Linked DNA regions of Cricetulus griseus. The protein of the gene in region 2 interacts with the protein of the main gene of each other region in a pairwise test. Links are inferred from orthologs where the notes say so. Each region holds a gene or a part of one and is shown on either strand. Other genes may lie near its edges.

Region 1 (8,697 bases), on a different chromosome or scaffold from region 2:
CCTAAGCCCTGCACAGGAATGTGTCTCAGCAGGTGCTCTTGACAGCACTCTGGACCTTTGCACAGTTCACCTGCTTGTCTCTAGGAGTCATCACATCACTGTACACAGTCCTTTTTAATGTCTCTTTCTCTCTTAGGGGTGGGTGGGTTGAAAGACTTTTCCATTTTAGGGGCGCAGTCTTTTCCTAAAACCAAATCCAGGATTTGTCATGTAGTAACATTTTAGTGGAGATTGACAAAGATAAAAAAAATTTAATTTCTTAAATCCCTATTAAAAATTCAACAGAGATGATCAGGCCAATCATCCTTCAAAGTCTAAGACTTGGCTCTGGAGACTTACCTTCTCTAAGACATACTTAATTTTTTAAAATTATACTTATATATTACAAAATCCTCAAGGAAATCCCCTTAAAATCGAGGTCATGTTTTCACCCTGAGTAACCCCTCCTACATCAGGCACTGAGGCAGTTTCTGATGGCCCTGATCTCAGATGTGCTTCTCTGTAGCTGAGGGAACTGTGTGTGACAAGGTGATTAAAAAGAATGCTACTTATATTTCTTCCCGGTTCGAGGAATCCCTGGAACTAAACTTAAAAATGATTCACACTAGAATCTGTTGTGGAATAGAATATTCGTTTAATGATGTAAAGATGTATTACATTGTGTTGCAAAATAAATATGTAAAGGTGTGCTGCATTTGTCTATGCTGTATTTGTTTAACTATGGAAAAGTGTTTTGCTATTTCACCTTGCATGCTTAAGGCACCTGATTGGTCAAATAAAAACCTGACCAGCCAATAACTAAGCAGAGGAGGGACAGGTGGGGCTAACAGGAATTGAGAAAAGGGGAGCCAATCAGCCAGTCAAAAAGGAAGCAGGAAGGCAGGATGGGCAGTACCTAGATAAGGTAAATGAGACTTGGGGCAGCATGTAGATTAACAGAAATGGGTAAATTTAAGTTAAAAGGAAAACCAAAAAGCTAGCTAGAAACAAGCCTAAGCTAAGGCCAATCATTAATAATTAGTAATAAGTCTCCATGTCATGATCTGGAGGGCTGGCAGTCCAAGAAAGCCTGCAACAAGAATCTGCTATTTTTCTGGGATTCATAGTATTTGAACAGGAAGAAACTAGAAATCAGTTCTAGCCTAATTGTTTTCCAAGTCAAAAAGGTGGCCAAGGGATAAAAGACCAATCTGCAGGCTGTGCTGGTCAATGCAGCACGGCTAGCATAGGTACTCAGGGGATGCTCAAATCACAGCACCCCTGACAGGCGCAAGAGTGGAGAGAGCTTACTTTCTAAGAGAAAAAAGCAGAAACAAAAGCTACAACTTTTTGCTTTTAAAAGTCAGGGTGAGAACTGGAGATCTTAAACATTATTCCCTAGTTTGGATTTTAAATTGCCACTGAGACACAATCGTCATGCTGCTTTTGCCCTCGAGAATAAGGGAAATAAATTGCCCATCTTGTCTTCTATACTACTCAAAGCTTTTTCACTACAACTATGCAGCTTTTGATTTTGTATGACCCTAAATAATCTCAGCCTCTTTTTCCACTACCAAAATCTATAGTCCATTGGCCAGAAGAACAGGCACGTGCTCTAAGCCTGCTGATCAAGCTGGAACAAACAGGGCCAACCAGAATCCTTCCTAGAACTATACCTGATACAGACGCTCAGAAAAACCAACCCCCTCCCCACCACATAAAGGATGTCTACAACAGTAGAGCCTAAGAGAAACAGTTCTAATGTCAAAATCACTGGTTCTCAGTCCTGAGCTGGTTCCTTTCATCTTGACAGTTAACCTTTTATCTTTTTAGAAGATTATTTTACTAACTTACTTTTATGAGTGTTTTTGCATATGTATTCTTGGTGCCCTCGGGGGTCAAGAGGGTGTCAGATTCCCTGGAACTGGAGTTACAGACAATTGTGATCCACCATGTGGGTGTTGGGGATTGAACCCAGGTCTTCCGAGAGAGCAGCCAGGGCTCTTAATTTCTGAACCATCCTTCCAGCCCATAACTTTATATCTTTATCAGCTTCAGACCAGAAGATTTCTTTATTCTTAAAATTCTTTGAGCTGGATTTTTTTCTGTCAGACATAACTCAAAAATCCAATTATACTCAAAACCTGAACTACACTGATTCAACAAAGAGGACTAAGATAAGCCCAGAACCAACAGTCTCACTGAGAATCTCTACTGTCCTTCAAAGCCTTTGTTAATAATTTTAGATTTGGATGTCTCTGGGCAGGTACTGCTGTGTTTCCAATCTATTACTAACATACTATCATCACCAATGACACTCACCATTCCTGTTACAGCAATCCCTGCTATATGGACCCTGAAAGCATGAGTTTGTCAACACTTCACTAGGGCATTCCTAGAATTTTTCAAAATCCTAATACAAGCTTGAGTCATTTGTTTCCTATAACAGCTGGATAGAAAGTGGAATTTTAAATTTTTTTGGAATTTCAAAGACAGTTGAGGCATTGATTTCATAAAACAAAATTTCCAAATTTAAAGCAAACTCAACAAGGATAAGGCAATTTCAATATATTTTATCATAATAACAGCATGTTTTTTTACTTTATAACATTTGAGATTAGTGACAAAAATCTCAAAACGTACCTCCAGTAAGGCTCCTGTTTGGAAAAATTTCAAAGGCTTCTCTATTGAATAATAAAGACTGTGGTAGCTGCCCTTAGCCAGGTATGCTCTCACAAGCCCAACTGCTATCACCAGCCACCTAGTAAAAAAGAGAAAGTGCAATTAGGAGAGAGAACAAAACCTAAGTTGGATATAGTAAAAAAAAAAAAAAAAAAAAAAAAAAAAAAAAAAAAAAAAGATATAGTAAAAGCATAACTTATTTAAAAAAAAATCCTAGAATACTGGATTTATCAATTGCAATGGTTTGGCTTTAAGGTTGAGACCCCTTTGAGTGTCAAACAATCCATTCACAGGGGTCGCTTAAGACCATCAGAAAACATTACAACTCATAACAGTAGCAATATTACAGTTTGAAGTAGCAACAAAAATAGTTTTATGGTTAGGGCTCACAACAACATGAGGAACTGTATTAAAGGGTCAAAGTGTTAGGAAGGTAGAGAGTCACTGCTTTAATGCTACTACCCACCCCACACCCATGTGAAGGGCATGCTCCCCAAAGTGACACTACTTGGAGGTGGTGGAACCTTTGAGAGGTGAGGCCTACTGAGAAGTAAGTTACTGGGGACATGCCCTGAAAGAAGATTGTGAAATCCTGATCCTCTTTCTTCCTCTTTTGTGGCATGATTACAAGGTGAACAGTTCTGTTCCTGCTTTGTCACTTGGCCCAACACAAGGAGGTCCTTCAGCTGTAGGACTGGACCTCCAAAACTGTGCACCAAAACAAACCTTCCTTCTTTGTAATGGGATTATTTCAAGTGTGGTATAAAAGTGATGGACACGCCAACTATAGCTCCCAAAGGCCAAGTTGTAGCACGAATAAGTGTTACACCACCTACAGCATCCTGTTAAAATAAAATTACACAGTGGCACCTCACTCATCTGGAACTTGGTTCTTCGGTAAATATATCTGCTAAGAACAAGACTAATACAAATGGAATAACCTAACATAGTCTTTGTGCAGTTAAATCAGATCCCAGAATGTCTAAGGGGGAACAAAGTGTTCGGGTTTCAACTGTGCTATTAAAGGGGCTTTAATAATAATAGTAAGACTGGAAAAACTATTTTCACAAGTGTCTCAGTGGGATATGTCCATATATAATCTTTCTTACCTAAATCACCTATGGAATATGAATAAAAAGTTGCCTTTGAAAAACAACAGTTTTAAATTTCCCAAAACCAAATGAGAAAAGAGATCAATAGGCTTATTGATTAGAAAAACATGAAACAAGAAAGCACAGGAACATACAGTTGTGAACATTACTTTTCTGCTCCATTTTCCATCTCAAAAACAAATATTAGGCCCTAGGATCCCCTATTAAATTCCATAATGAAGCTGTCCTGGAACTCACTCAGGATGGCCTTGAACTCAGAGATCCACCATGCACAACCTGAGCGTATGTTTCAACACCTCCCATTTATATTACTAATTCTTTTCTGTATATTTGAAAGCTTTACCTAAAAAATAGCTCCCATTTATATTACTAATTCTTTTCTGTATATTTGAAAGCTTTACCTAAAAAATAGCTACAGTGGTAGGGATATAGCAGAGAAGAATGGGTGCAAGTGTGAGGCCTTAGGTTCAATTCCAGGACCAGTAAATAAACAAAGGAATGAATGCTAGGAAGTCTAGAGTGGTGTCACGGGCCACTAATTCCAACGTCAGAAGACAGAGACAGGAGGATCACAAGTTCTGGGCCAACCAAGACTACATGAAGAGCTCTCTAGATCTAAAAAAAAAAAAAAGCAAAGAAAGGAAAAGTAAGAAAATGTGTTTCACAGCTTAGAAATTTCCTAACAATTTATATTGTGATCCACCTCACCAAAACTACCGGATTTCGAAACTGGATTCACCTAGCCCAATTCCACCTAACCGGAAAAAAAAAAAAAAAAATCCAGAGGCCCAGAGAAAGCAGCAGATTCATTCAAAGTCACACGGCAAGTTGTGTGAGAACTAGAACTAAAACCCTGCTATTAAGGGACAGACTGCAATAGGGCAAAACCATTTTGAGGGTCGATACTCTCCCAACCTCAACTTGCCCCAGTCCTGTCTAGGAAGTCTATATCCGGCCATCGGACAGCTCCGACTCGGGTGGCTGGCCAAAAACTTTGAACGCCTTCCCACTCCCTCGGAGATGAAAGCTCTGCCCGGGTTTTGAAAACCACCGCTGAAATGAATGGTCTCCGCAGCCAGCGCTGCTTCCACGCCGCGGCTCGTGACCGGCCGCCCGGGCTGGCCTCCCCTCCACTGCGCCCCGACCCGACCCGCACCTGTGGCCAGCCCGCTCGCCCGCCCCGGCGAGGCCCTGCCCAGGCGGCCCCGGGCCAGCCTTCCCCGCGCTCCGCACCGCGGCGGCCCCGGGTGCGGGTTCCCACACTTGGCCGCCCGGCCGCAGAGCTCGCTCCCCGCCTCCCCGCGCGCAGCCTCACCCGGCCGTCATCACCACATTGTAGATGACCAGGTACGCCGTGGCCACAGGCCCGGGGCCCTTCCTCTTCCGCGTGCCGCCGCCTTCGCCGGCCCCGGCTCGGCCGCTGCCGCCCCCATTCCCCTTGGTCGCCGCAGTCGCCGCCACTGCCGCCATGTCAAGCGCCTGCAGCCCGCTCTCCTCGCGCCTGCACCTCAGACCCGGCTGGAGACTGCGAGGGGGCGGAGGGAGGGGCGAAGAAGAGGCGGGGCCGCGGCACGGGGCGGAGCCGGGACAGCGCCCACGGGGCCGCCATCTTGGATGAGGGCAAAGACGCTCTAGGAGCTCCCGCCTGTGGGCTCGTCTCGGTAACTGTCCCCGTGTTGGATGGGGGTAATTTCTTTCCCACTTCCGGCACGCTGTCGGTGTCGGTGTCCAACTCCATGTTTAACTAGGTTAATGTGACTCTGGGCCTCACGTTGTTCCAGGCCTGGTCTTACGCGTAATTTGTCTCTTTACCATCCTACTGGATCCAAAGGATGTGTCCCAGTCCCTATTTCTTCTAATCCTCTCCCAGGTGCCATGTCTTCACACAATTGCCCAAGAAGTTATCATTTTAGATTAGGGCGATTAACGTCAGTTAAGCTTCCATCCTGTCAAGAGATCAGAAGGAGCCAGCATTTTTGCAACACGTATCTTTTTCTTCTAACTGTAGCCAAGTTGGGGAACCAGTCTTCAACAGGTTCTTCCTTGTCTTTTGATTTTTAGTTAACCTGCACTGTACAGTGGAGACTCCCAGCAGTCGCTAACAGTTAGGCAGTTCATCTCCATTCATAGGCCTGATTTTTGTGACGCAGGATTTAAGGTGCTTCGGTGGTTAGTTGAGGACCATGTGAGGTGTAAAGAGTTGTTAATACCCACAGGGTCTAGGTGGGAAACTCTCCTACTGAGTGAAAACAGAAACAACTTCTAGAAACTGCTTTTATCTGCTGACACCACTCCTTTTTCTAGGAGTTTCTTCGTCAAATTACCTTGGCATCCGTGTTCATGCAACCAAGCATCCCCATAAATAGTAACTATTTACGTAATGCAATAAAATATGTATTGATTCCAAGAAATATTTATGGAGCATCTACAAGGTTGTATTAGAGTTTATAACACTAATGGAAAAAGACAAAAAGTCTTCAGTCGCCCAGAGATTACACAGAAGGAGCTAGACACGAATAAATATGCATTAGTTGGTGAAAAGTGGTATCAATTAGAAAACTATTACAATAACCCAGGTCATGATGATAGTAAAGTGATGAACACTGAATTTTCAGAATATTTTATTACAGTTCATAAAATGTTTAGACAGTGCATTAGATTTGAATGGAAGGTGAAGAGACATTGGGACAGCTTGGAAGAATAAAGACAATTAATTTTAGACTCCGAGGTTCAGGAAGACAGGAAGGTTAGAGAGAGAGAGAGAGAGAAAGAGAGAGAGAGAGAGAGAGAGAGAGACAGAGACAGACACAGAGACAGAGACAGACAGAGAGAGAGACAGAGAGAGAGACGGAGATTTGAGAGTATCAGGATGATTATAGAATTTAAAACCATGAGACCCCCAAAAACTGAGAGGGAGAAACTGAGCAGTTGTTAAATTCTCATCCCTTACTGTTCTCCAAGATTGTAAGACCTCCTGTGGCCTTGTTTTTCCTGGTTTCCTTAAAGAACAAGGCAGGGAGAAAGGAACAGGTTTGGTTTTCAGCATACACATGTTGATTCAGAACCATCCCGAACTCTAGTTTCAGGGAATCCATTAGCCTCATCTGACCTACAAAAGCACCAGGAACACACTTAGAATATATATATACATGATGGCAAAACATTCCTAAAATAAATAAACAAATAAATCTTTTTTTTTAAAGGGAGATCAAAAGTGCAACAAAACCTTTCCCCTTTCTCATAAAGAAGTGAACTATTTGCAGAATAATCATTCACCTAAAAGCTTCTCTCATTCATTTAATTGATTCTCTTTCCAATATAATATACTTAATGGGGAAGTAGGAGGCACAAACACATAAAATTGGAAATCAACTTAAAACTTAGTGTATCTTCTTGTCGTCATTTTTATACAACCCCATCACTTCTGCAAAGTATAGATGATCTTTTCTAAGTACAAATTTGTTTGCATCTACTACTTCTCTCATCCTGTTCCCTTATGGCATTTAAATGGTTTTTAATGACAGTTAAGATAAAGTGTAAGAAGTTCAGTGTGACCTTAATCTGAATAGTTTGTTTATTATTCACTTGTCCCTTTGGTCTTGTTACTGGAGACTTAGGTAATAAGCCCTGGATCTAAGTGCCAACATTTTGTTCAGAGCCACCCATCCCAATACACACACGATAATGATGAGTAATTATGAAGAACAGAGAAAAGAGATTAACCAGTGTGGCTACATTGGGAAATACAGATCAATGGGTGCAAGTTCATTTTTGGAGCACTGACACAAGCCTTAGATATAAACAGAAGAAGAACTAGAACACAGGGAAGAAGTATTCATAGATAAGTAATCTTGGCCAATGTGGGATTACGTTGATCATTGCCTCAGTTCAGGTTCAGTAAAGTAGGAGGAAGAGTCATATCTATTGAGAAGATAAGCTATGAGAAGATTGTTCACAGGGTACTCTCATGGTAGAATGGTTTGTCTGCAAGGCTCTTCTGTTCTTGGATCCACAGTGACTACAGTATTAGGACAATGACTGGAGACCTTCAGGAACTACAGTGGTTTCCAGAACATGATATTGTAATCAGCTGACAGTAAAATAGCTTAGTTACCATTATTGTTGTGCCTTTAGTTTTAAAGGGTGTTGGGATAGGTAATTACCATGTATCTTAGCCACTATCCTATTGCAGTGAAGAAACACCATGACCAAAGCAATGGAAGAAAGTATTTAATAGGGGGCTTGCTTGCATGGCACTGGAGCAGTAGCTGAGAGCTACACCCTGGTCCATGGGCAGAGAGAGAGAGAGAGAGAGAGAGAGAGAGAGAGAGAGAGAGAGAGAGAGACTGACTCTGGGCTTGGCATGGGTTTTTGAAACTTCAAAGTTCACCCCCAGTGACACAATTCCTCCAACAAGGCCACACCTCTTAAACCTTCTAATCCTTTTAAATAACATCACTCTCTGGTGAGTAAACATCCAAATATATGAATAGGGGAGGCATTCTTATTAAAACCACCACAGCATGTTTTAGGTAGACACTTTTTGATTGATTAATCTACTCATGAGCAAAATGAATCAGGTAACTGATCCAAAATAAAGGAGACAGATTTATGTAACGAAAAGTCTTTATGACAACTGCCCGAGCCCCACTGCCACATGGGTGCCTGAAATAACACACAGAGACTTATATTAGGTACAAATGCTATTAGCTGCTGGCTAATGACTAGGATTTCTCACATGCGTGCTCTGTCTTAAGTATTAACCATAGCCATAATCTATATATTTATAAAGACTTATCTGATCGAGGATGCCAGTGGCATGTGTCCTCTCTCATCAGGCTCACATGGCAGCTCCAGAGAAGAAAGGAGGAAGAAGAGGAAGAGAGCGATTTCCTTCTTGTCCCTGCTTATATTCTGAGTCAGC
Region 2 (7,949 bases):
ATGCTGGTTGGTTACACTGGTACCACCTAATGATGCATTCCTGAGTTACTTGTGGTTACCACAGCTCCGTTGGCTTAGCTGACAGCCTAGCAGCATCCATGCTGGACCTGGCATATTTCTGTAATGGGGAAGCCGGCTGGAAAGTGAACACTGACCTTCCCTTAACTTTTTGGAAGATAGCATCGCTAGAGGAAGGGAGGTGAGAACTCTCTGTACTGTTTACATACCCAAAGGGATCAGTGTCACCCTTCCTTCTGTCAGGACATGGCCATAATCCGAATTGGTTCTGCTAACCCAATGAGGGATACCCTGTATGTGGCTTCATTTGTGCCATGTGCATCCTGGGAGTTGGTGGAGTTGGGGATTGGCTCTGATGCTGAGCCTTACCACTCCCCACAGTAATGGTGGCTACACAACAGGAGATGAACAATGCCCAGCTGACACTGCAGCAACGTGACTACTGCGCCCACTACCTCATCAGGCTGCTCAAGTGCAAGCGCGACAGCTTCCCCAACTTCCTGGCTTGCAAGCATGAGCGGCATGACTGGGACTACTGCGAGCACATGGAGTGAGCCTGCCCTGCCCCTACCCACACCACAAGCACCCACACATGGGCATGGGGAAGAGGCTGGAGCCATCAGAGGGCCAAGCCAGGATTTCAGTGGGAGGCCTCACCCTAGCTAGGGTTTCCTGGTGGCTGGGAATGGGACCAGGTCAGGGCCTGTGGCATTGAGACCTTGTATCTGCTCTGCCAACAGCTACGTGAAGCGAATGAAGGAGTTTGAACGTGAACGGAGGCTGCTCCAGAGGAAGAAACGGAGGGAAGAGAAGGCGGAACGGGTATCCCGGGGCCAGGGAGAAGGAGAGGTGGGCCCTGAGGTGGCCCTCTAGGGTCACCCACCACCTGTGGACCTATCAGTGGAATAAACACTCTGAGTCAACTGTCCAACCTTCATCTGCACTGCCTCAAGGGTGGGGAGGAACGGGTGGCCCTTGGGCCCCTAAAGAACACAAAGCCCAAGACCAGCTGGGTAAGCAGATTTATTGTTGCTGCTAGAGAGCCACGATCACCCCAGGACAGAGGGGCATTGGGTAGAGAGTGCTCCTGGCTGAGCCCATGAGAACTGCTCAGAGCAGGAAAGGGATGATGGGCATGCGCAGGGGTGGGTAGTCACGGAACTCCTTCAGGTAGCTGCGGTGCTTGCCCTTGGCCCAGATGGTCATCTGGGTGAAGCCCACCAAGGAGAAGAGGGCCACTGTGGGCAGAACGGGATATCAGAATAGGGATGCCCAGTCAGAAGGGAAGGGCACTGCACGGGAACAAGGGACTCACCTGGAACACACTGCGTCATGATGGCAAAGCCAATCCAGGACCCCACCTGTGAACAGCACAAGCAGGGTGAGGGCACAGAGGGAAGCCCAGCATCACATGTATCCCTGGGGAAGGAAGGCAGCAGTCTCCCCATATTCAAGCTTTATTACTCCCCACAACCCACCCCTACACTTCACCTCATATAGGACCTCAAATCCAAGAGGAAAAAGGCAGTCTCACCTCGTAAGTGTAGTTGGGACAGGACACCAACAGAAATAGCCAGGTGAAGGGGTTCTTGGTGGGATATGGGATCTTCCTGGTTTTGGACCCTGGCATGCAGGACAAGAGTAAGTCAGATCCCTCCCCAGCCCCAGCCCCAGCCCCAGCCCCAGCCCCATCTGGCCACTCACCAGCTGGCCGAAGGTCCCGAAGAGCCATGTGGATGGAGAAGTTGCCAAGCTGGCAGATCTATCAAGGAGAACAGGATCAGCCCAGAGGCCCCAACCTCACCTCACCCAGCCACCTCACCTCACCACACTTGGTTGCCACCCCAGCCTCTTTACCACAAAGATGGTCAGCGCCAACTTAACCTGCTGGGCTCCGTAGGCTGCAGAAAAGGCAAAAAGAAGGGCCCCATAAGAAGAAGGTTGGTGATGGGGGTCACGGGATGAGGGCACTGTCTGGGCCCACTTACTAGGGGGTGTGTAGAGAGGGTGGTTGATGTAATAGGCCATCCATGCAGCAAAGCCCCAGTAGTAGGTGCAGTTCTGAAAGAGAGCAGATGAGTGAGCCTAGGGAGGGCGGGTGCTGCTGGGCAGAGCAGAAAGAATAAGGATGCTCACTTTGAAGATGTTTCGCAAGGGCATGGTTCCGTGAGAGAAGCGGTGCACGAAGAGGGTCTCCAGCAGACGCTTGACGTAGTGGGATGAGTGGCAGATGCAAGCGAGGCTGGTGGGGCAGCTGATTCAGCTGGGGTTGCTCCAGCCCTCCACCCGCCCCGCCCCCTCCCACTCTCCTGTGGGCCCCACTCACTGCACCACTGTGTGCCGACTGGACGTGAAGTCGTATTTGTGGCCATAAATGAAGGGTACCCGGAAGTAGAAGAGCAAGTAGATGAAAAGGGGCCCAGCATACTCAGTCAGGAAGACCTGGGAGTGCCCAGAGACAAGGTGAGTAACCCCAGGGTGGCTGAAGGCAGAGACCAGGGAAGGGGTCAGGGCTTACCGTCACCCAGCTGATCTGTGCCCCCAGGTCCCGGAAGAAGAGTGTGGCTGTGGTGCCCACAGGAAGCTTCTGCAACACATCTTCATCTTTCAGGGACTTTCCCTCTACAGAAATCAGTCAGTATTCAGATGCTGCCCTGGGTTTCTGACCCCAAGAGCCCAAGGGAAAGGCTGTACTCACTGGGGTCCAAGCGGAGGGACTGGCGGGCAGGGTACCACTGCGGGTCTGCTAGGAGAAGGTGAGGTTGCAGCACCCAGTCTGGCTGGGTTCAGCCTGCCCATCGTAACCCAGCCTGCCTCTCAAGGTTCCCAGAATTCTGGGACCCCCGGCTCTTCCCACCCTATGCAAGAACACACCCAAACAGCTACAGATTTTGTCCTTTGAATAACGCAAGAGCATTCCTGCAGGTGGCCACACGGGGGCAGCCTGCCCAGTCAGAGGGGCCCCATTCCCTGCTCCAGTGTGCTGACAGGCCCTCTCTACAAGTCCCTAAGGAAGCCCAGGTCTCTCATCCAGAGGGGTGACAGGAGTGGGGATAGAAGTGTAGGGCCTGCACTCACGCGTCTTGGTGAAGAGATTCTTGATTTCAGCAATGGTGGCCTGAGGCTCCACCTGAGAGAAAACAGACTATCAGTCCCAAAGGAGCCCCAGATCTGGGACAGGGGTGCCAGGCACAGGCGGTCAGGATCACGCCAGCTGGCTTCAGCAGGGTGTATCTGTCTTCCACCTCCTTCACAGACACAGGGTCCTTCCAGGCTGCCTTATCCCTTCCCCTACCAGGCAGCCAGCTCCCAGCCCTATGCAGGGGTCACGATTACACGTTCTAGCTCAGTGGTTCTCAACCTTCCTAATGCTGTGATCCTTTAATAAAGTTCCTTGTGTTGTGGTGACCCCGAGCAAAAAATTATTTCCTTGCTATTTCACATCTGTAATTTTGCTACTGTTATGAATCACAATAGAAGCATCTGATATGCAGCCCCACAGGGGTGGAGACCACAGTTTGAGAACTGCTGCTCTAGATGAAGGCAATACCCCTTGTGTGCCCTCTGAAGGACAAGGGGGCCACCAATGTCTGCACAGCCCTACAACTTCACCACCAGGGTCACAGTCCTACCTTGTCCAGGAAGCACAGCTTCTCCCTCGTCTTCGCATCCAGAATTTCCACCTCAAAGAAGAGAACCGCCTTTTTATGCTTCTTGGCTATCTTGTGGGGCACGGGCATGGGAAGACCATCGAGGCCTTGGTGGGCCTCCTTGGCCACCATGCTCAAGCTGATATCCATGCCACTGTCGGCCCTACTGCTCTGCCTACCAGGCTGTGGCGCCCACTGCCAGCCACCAGCCCCCACCTCCGACCTCCCCTCACAAAGCTGCTCTGAGCTGGGCTGGGCAGCATGATGAAACTCTGCCTCGGTGCTGGAAAGGAGCCTGTGTCTGACCAGACCCAGCCAGCTTCAATGCCAGATGTAACCCGAGTGGCACCAGGGCCCGGCCCGGCCCGGCTAAATATAAAACCATCCCAAGTTCCCCCGAAGGAGCCACACCACAGTCCTCCCCTGGGGGCTACCCTCATAGAAGCAGCTGAGTGGACACTGGGCCTCAAAAGCGCCAGGGACAAGAAAATCTCCCAGAGATGGGAAAAAGCACACAGCCAGTGGCAGGGGTGGCTAGCCCAGGCCCAGTGCCCAGCTCTGGCTGACAGGTTACTGGACCTGGGGAAATGCCAGCTGTCTAGAGAATCTGAGAGACAGATCATGCATTGCCACTTCTAAGCTGTAAGGGACACTGGATTATTTCCCTTGTGCATTTGTGTTCCCAGAGAGGTGACAAATTCCAGAGTTATCGGTGCACAGTTCCTTTTCTAAGTATGGAGAGGAAAGAGTGAGCAAGGTTCTCCACCCCTCTCCTCATTCTCAACAGTTCCACCCACACCTGCTTCAAAACCACCTGCATGGCAGTCTACCACATCAGGCCAACATCAATGTGCTCACCTCACCCATGGATGAGTCTCGCTGCAAAGCCTTCAACACACAACCCAGGCCTGCCGATACCCCTAGGGTCCACAGTCTCCAAAGGAGAAATACCCAGGCTAGAGCCACTCAGTGGTGCAAAGGAACAGAGTAAGAAAACAGCCCCAGGAGATCTGAGCCACCTGTCCCAGAAGGTCAGAGAAGGCTGCTGACATGATGGTCTGCACTGTCCATAGTAGCTGGGAGAGGCCTGGGGGTCCTATGGGGATCTGTGACTTCTCATTCTCAAGGATGGGGACATCACAGGCCAGAGAAGCTGGTCACTGCCATCTGCATGCTCCAAAGAGCAGAGGCTAAGATAGTCCTAGGGTCTGACCCCAGGCCTGGCCTGCTAGGGGTCCCTGAGAGGATGTGCATGAACCAACATGGTGCTGGCACAAGGGAAGTATGTGCGTGTGTGTGTGTGTGTGTGTGTGTGTGTGTGTGTGTGTGTGTGTGTGTGTGTGTGCGCGCGTGCGCGCATGTGTGCATGTGTGTATGTGTGTCTGTGGCCCCACAAAAGTGACTACCTGGTGATTAGGTAGGGAGGCCCCATGGAGGTGACCCTACACAGTGAAGCAGCCCTGCAGGGCCTAGGCCTGGATTCAGAGCAAGGCTTCTATGCCAGCCAGTGGCACCCAGGCCTGCTTGCCCATCTATGCCAGAGCCTACATCATGGACACAGCGCAGGAGAGAGTACAGAAATCACTTGCTATCCACTGCAAACTCAGCTTCACCCTGTGGCCTGAGGGGCAAATGACTGAACCACATAAGGACAGTATCAGACCAGAAACGAGAGAGAATGAATACATGAGGAATGGGCTAGAAGGGGCTTGGTGGCAGGGCTCTGGGCTGCAGATATATTAATACTGCTCCCCATAAGCACTGTGCTCATGCTCAGTGTCCATGTGAATCACAGGAAGGCGGCACAATGTCCACTGGGAGAGAAGGCCACGGAGTTCCTGCTGAACCACTCAACAGCTTAAAATACAACCAGCCCCTCTCCCTACTGGGCCAGCTGCTGGGGAGGGCTGAAACCCTACCCTCTCCCCCAGCTGGGGCTCTGCAACAAGGCCAGGAACCCTGATGCACCAACTGGCTACAAGAGAACAGCATGGAGGGGCCACACTGAACAGCAGTCCCCAAGCCACAAGGAGAGGGAGGAGCTGCCGGATCCAGGTGAGCGAGCGAGCGAGAGGCCTCCCACGCCCTGCCCAAGCCCCAGATCCCCATAGCCATCTTCTCCCAGTGGGCCAGAGGCCATTCTTGCTGTGATTTTTGCAACTCCCTAACCCTCTAGAATTATGTCAAAATCAAAAGCAAGATAAAAGTTATGTTAAGCATAGCAAGGAGGTTGGCTGGGTGAAAGATGCCAGACTTTCAGGACAGGAGTGGCCAGGACCAGACCAGGGCAGACAGCAGCCTGCTGGTGCCCCCACAGGGTACAGGCTGAGGCGGCAGCAGGGGGAGATTCTAAAGGATAGCTGCTCTTTGTGGGTGATGCAAAAGTGTCAGTCACAGATGTGGGGCTGCCCAATGAAATGTGCTGAATGTCACTGGCTGTATACTTTCAGGGGTAGGGGTGGTACTCAGGGGTGACACAGCAGGGTCTGACTCTTTAGGCCAGGATAGCCTTAAACTCAAAACCCTGTCTCAGCTTCCCAAGTGCTGAGGGATTAGTTGTCTACCACACCAACTTCAACTGTGCACTTTTACTTACAGTCACAGGAACCACACTCCAAAAGCTCTGGGACTGTGTATTGGGGCTCTCACATTGTGAGGCGGGTACTCTACCACTGAGTTACACCCCAGTCCCCACAGGCAACAGACAGGCAAAGTGTCCAACAAAAAAAGAAAAGACAACACAGCTCCAGGGAACAGGCAGGGTCTCCACTGTCCAGACCAAGGAGACTGGGGAAAATCTACGTGTACCTCTTAAACCGTGGTCCTCACTGCACTCAACCACTACCATCTCCACCCCTGCCTGTACCTGTCCCAAACACACACACACACACACACACACACACACACACACACACACACACACACACACACACACACAGTCAGCCTAAAATACAACCCTGAAGGGTGCCCAGGTCTAGGGTCAGAGAGCACCAGGGGTCCTGAACACCAAGGGCAGGGAGCCAGCAGCCTCTGGCCCCTCCTGGGGAGAAAGCAGCACAGCTGAGCTAAGGAAGGGAACCCTCATACGCAGACAGCTATAGATGTGATCGCTACAGATGAGGGTGGCCCAGAAGGATGATCTGAGTTCCTAGGCTTGGGGAGGGGGACACCCCCTGCTGAGAGCACAATGGACGGTGTCAAAGACAAGGGCAGGAACCCTAGCACAGGGCACCCAAACTGGTTCTACGATGACAGTTCCACTAGTCTGTGAAGAATTCTCACCCAGAGACTGAGATAACAAGGCCTGGCCCAGCCAACAGAACTCCTGCTAGCCCAAGGTCAAGGACAGCAAAGCAGACTGAGAGGCAGGAAGCAGCCAACCCTAAAGAAGGATGGGGGGCTGGCCTTGGCACCCACTGCGGCAAGATCAAGGTTGGTGCAGCCTGTTCCTTGTTCTGAGACTGGGAGGTAGCACTCTTGAGGTTGTCCCAGCCAGGCAGGGAGCCCAAAGACAGAGAAGCATGTCCTGCATCACCATTACAGGGCTCCTGCCTCCCTCCTCGGGCTACTGGCCACATCTCATCCACCACCAACTTTAAAACAGCAGTCCCACCAGGCACAGTGGCAATACTTGCGACCCTAGCACTCAGCAGATGGACTCAGGATCAGGCATTCAGAGATAACCCTAGCAACATGCAAAGTTTGAGGTCAGTCTAAACTATGTGAGACCTTATCTTCAAAAAAGAATTTATGGCTACAAGTAGTACTCTAGTTACAGCCTGATCCACTGCCCCCTGGCAGTATACTCAATATAACTATTGCTTAAGAAAAAATTAAGAAAGACCCAGGAACCCTTCCACCTGTCCTGGGCCTGGCTGTTTTCTATACCCAGAGTGGTCCCAGGTAGAGCACAACTAGAATAACCCTAGGTAAAAGGTCACCAGTATCGGGCCTGAGGTCCTCTCACAGCTCCCCCTTGTCTGGCTGCTCCTTCACCTCTCCAGAAGCCTCGTTCTGCCCCAGACCACATCAAAGGCAGCCATGTGGTATGAGGCCCCTGGTCCCTGGGTGTTTCTAAGCCTACACAGCACTCTGGGCTACCAGGCCTTACACCCCTGGTTCTGAGGCACCCTACACTGAGCATGGTCAGCTCACCAGGCTCCACCCCTCATAGAAACTGGAGTATCCCTCAATGGCTCCAAGAGCCGATAGGCTCTGCATGGCCTCTAGGTGGCAACACACATTTCGTGGAATGTAAGCTTAAAAAAGAACACTTCCCAT

The links.
Region 1: the proteins of Tecr (region 2) and Hacd2 interact in binary tests that used the Homo sapiens proteins (3 or more experiments, as listed by UniProt). The link is inferred for Cricetulus griseus from reciprocal best matches to the Homo sapiens genes TECR and HACD2.

What each region holds. Positions count from the first base shown.
Region 1 is NC_048597.1:54,614,071-54,622,767, forward strand, and holds the start of Hacd2 (very-long-chain (3R)-3-hydroxyacyl-CoA dehydratase 2), read right to left. Parts: upstream 5,305-8,697; 5' UTR 5,244-5,304; coding exon 5,089-5,243; intron 2,741-5,088; coding exon 2,623-2,740; intron 1-2,622. UniProt on the Homo sapiens protein: Catalyzes the third of the very long-chain fatty acids (VLCFA) elongation four-step cycle (condensation, reduction, dehydration, and reduction).
Region 2 is NC_048596.1:160,822,916-160,830,864, reverse strand, and holds the end of Tecr (very-long-chain enoyl-CoA reductase), read right to left. Parts: intron 3,702-7,949; coding exon 3,651-3,701; intron 3,149-3,650; coding exon 3,097-3,148; intron 2,765-3,096; coding exon of another isoform or gene 2,762-2,764; coding exon 2,717-2,761; intron 2,641-2,716; coding exon 2,537-2,640; intron 2,461-2,536; coding exon 2,345-2,460; intron 2,261-2,344; coding exon 2,155-2,260; intron 2,080-2,154; coding exon 2,007-2,079; intron 1,920-2,006; coding exon 1,876-1,919; intron 1,781-1,875; coding exon 1,723-1,780; intron 1,642-1,722; coding exon 1,553-1,641; intron 1,380-1,552; coding exon 1,334-1,379; intron 1,257-1,333; coding exon 1,129-1,256; 3' UTR 1,024-1,128; downstream 1-1,023. Other genes in the region: Ndufb7 (NADH dehydrogenase [ubiquinone] 1 beta subcomplex subunit 7), read left to right, coding at 400-568, 759-891. UniProt on the Homo sapiens protein: Involved in both the production of very long-chain fatty acids for sphingolipid synthesis and the degradation of the sphingosine moiety in sphingolipids through the sphingosine 1-phosphate metabolic pathway.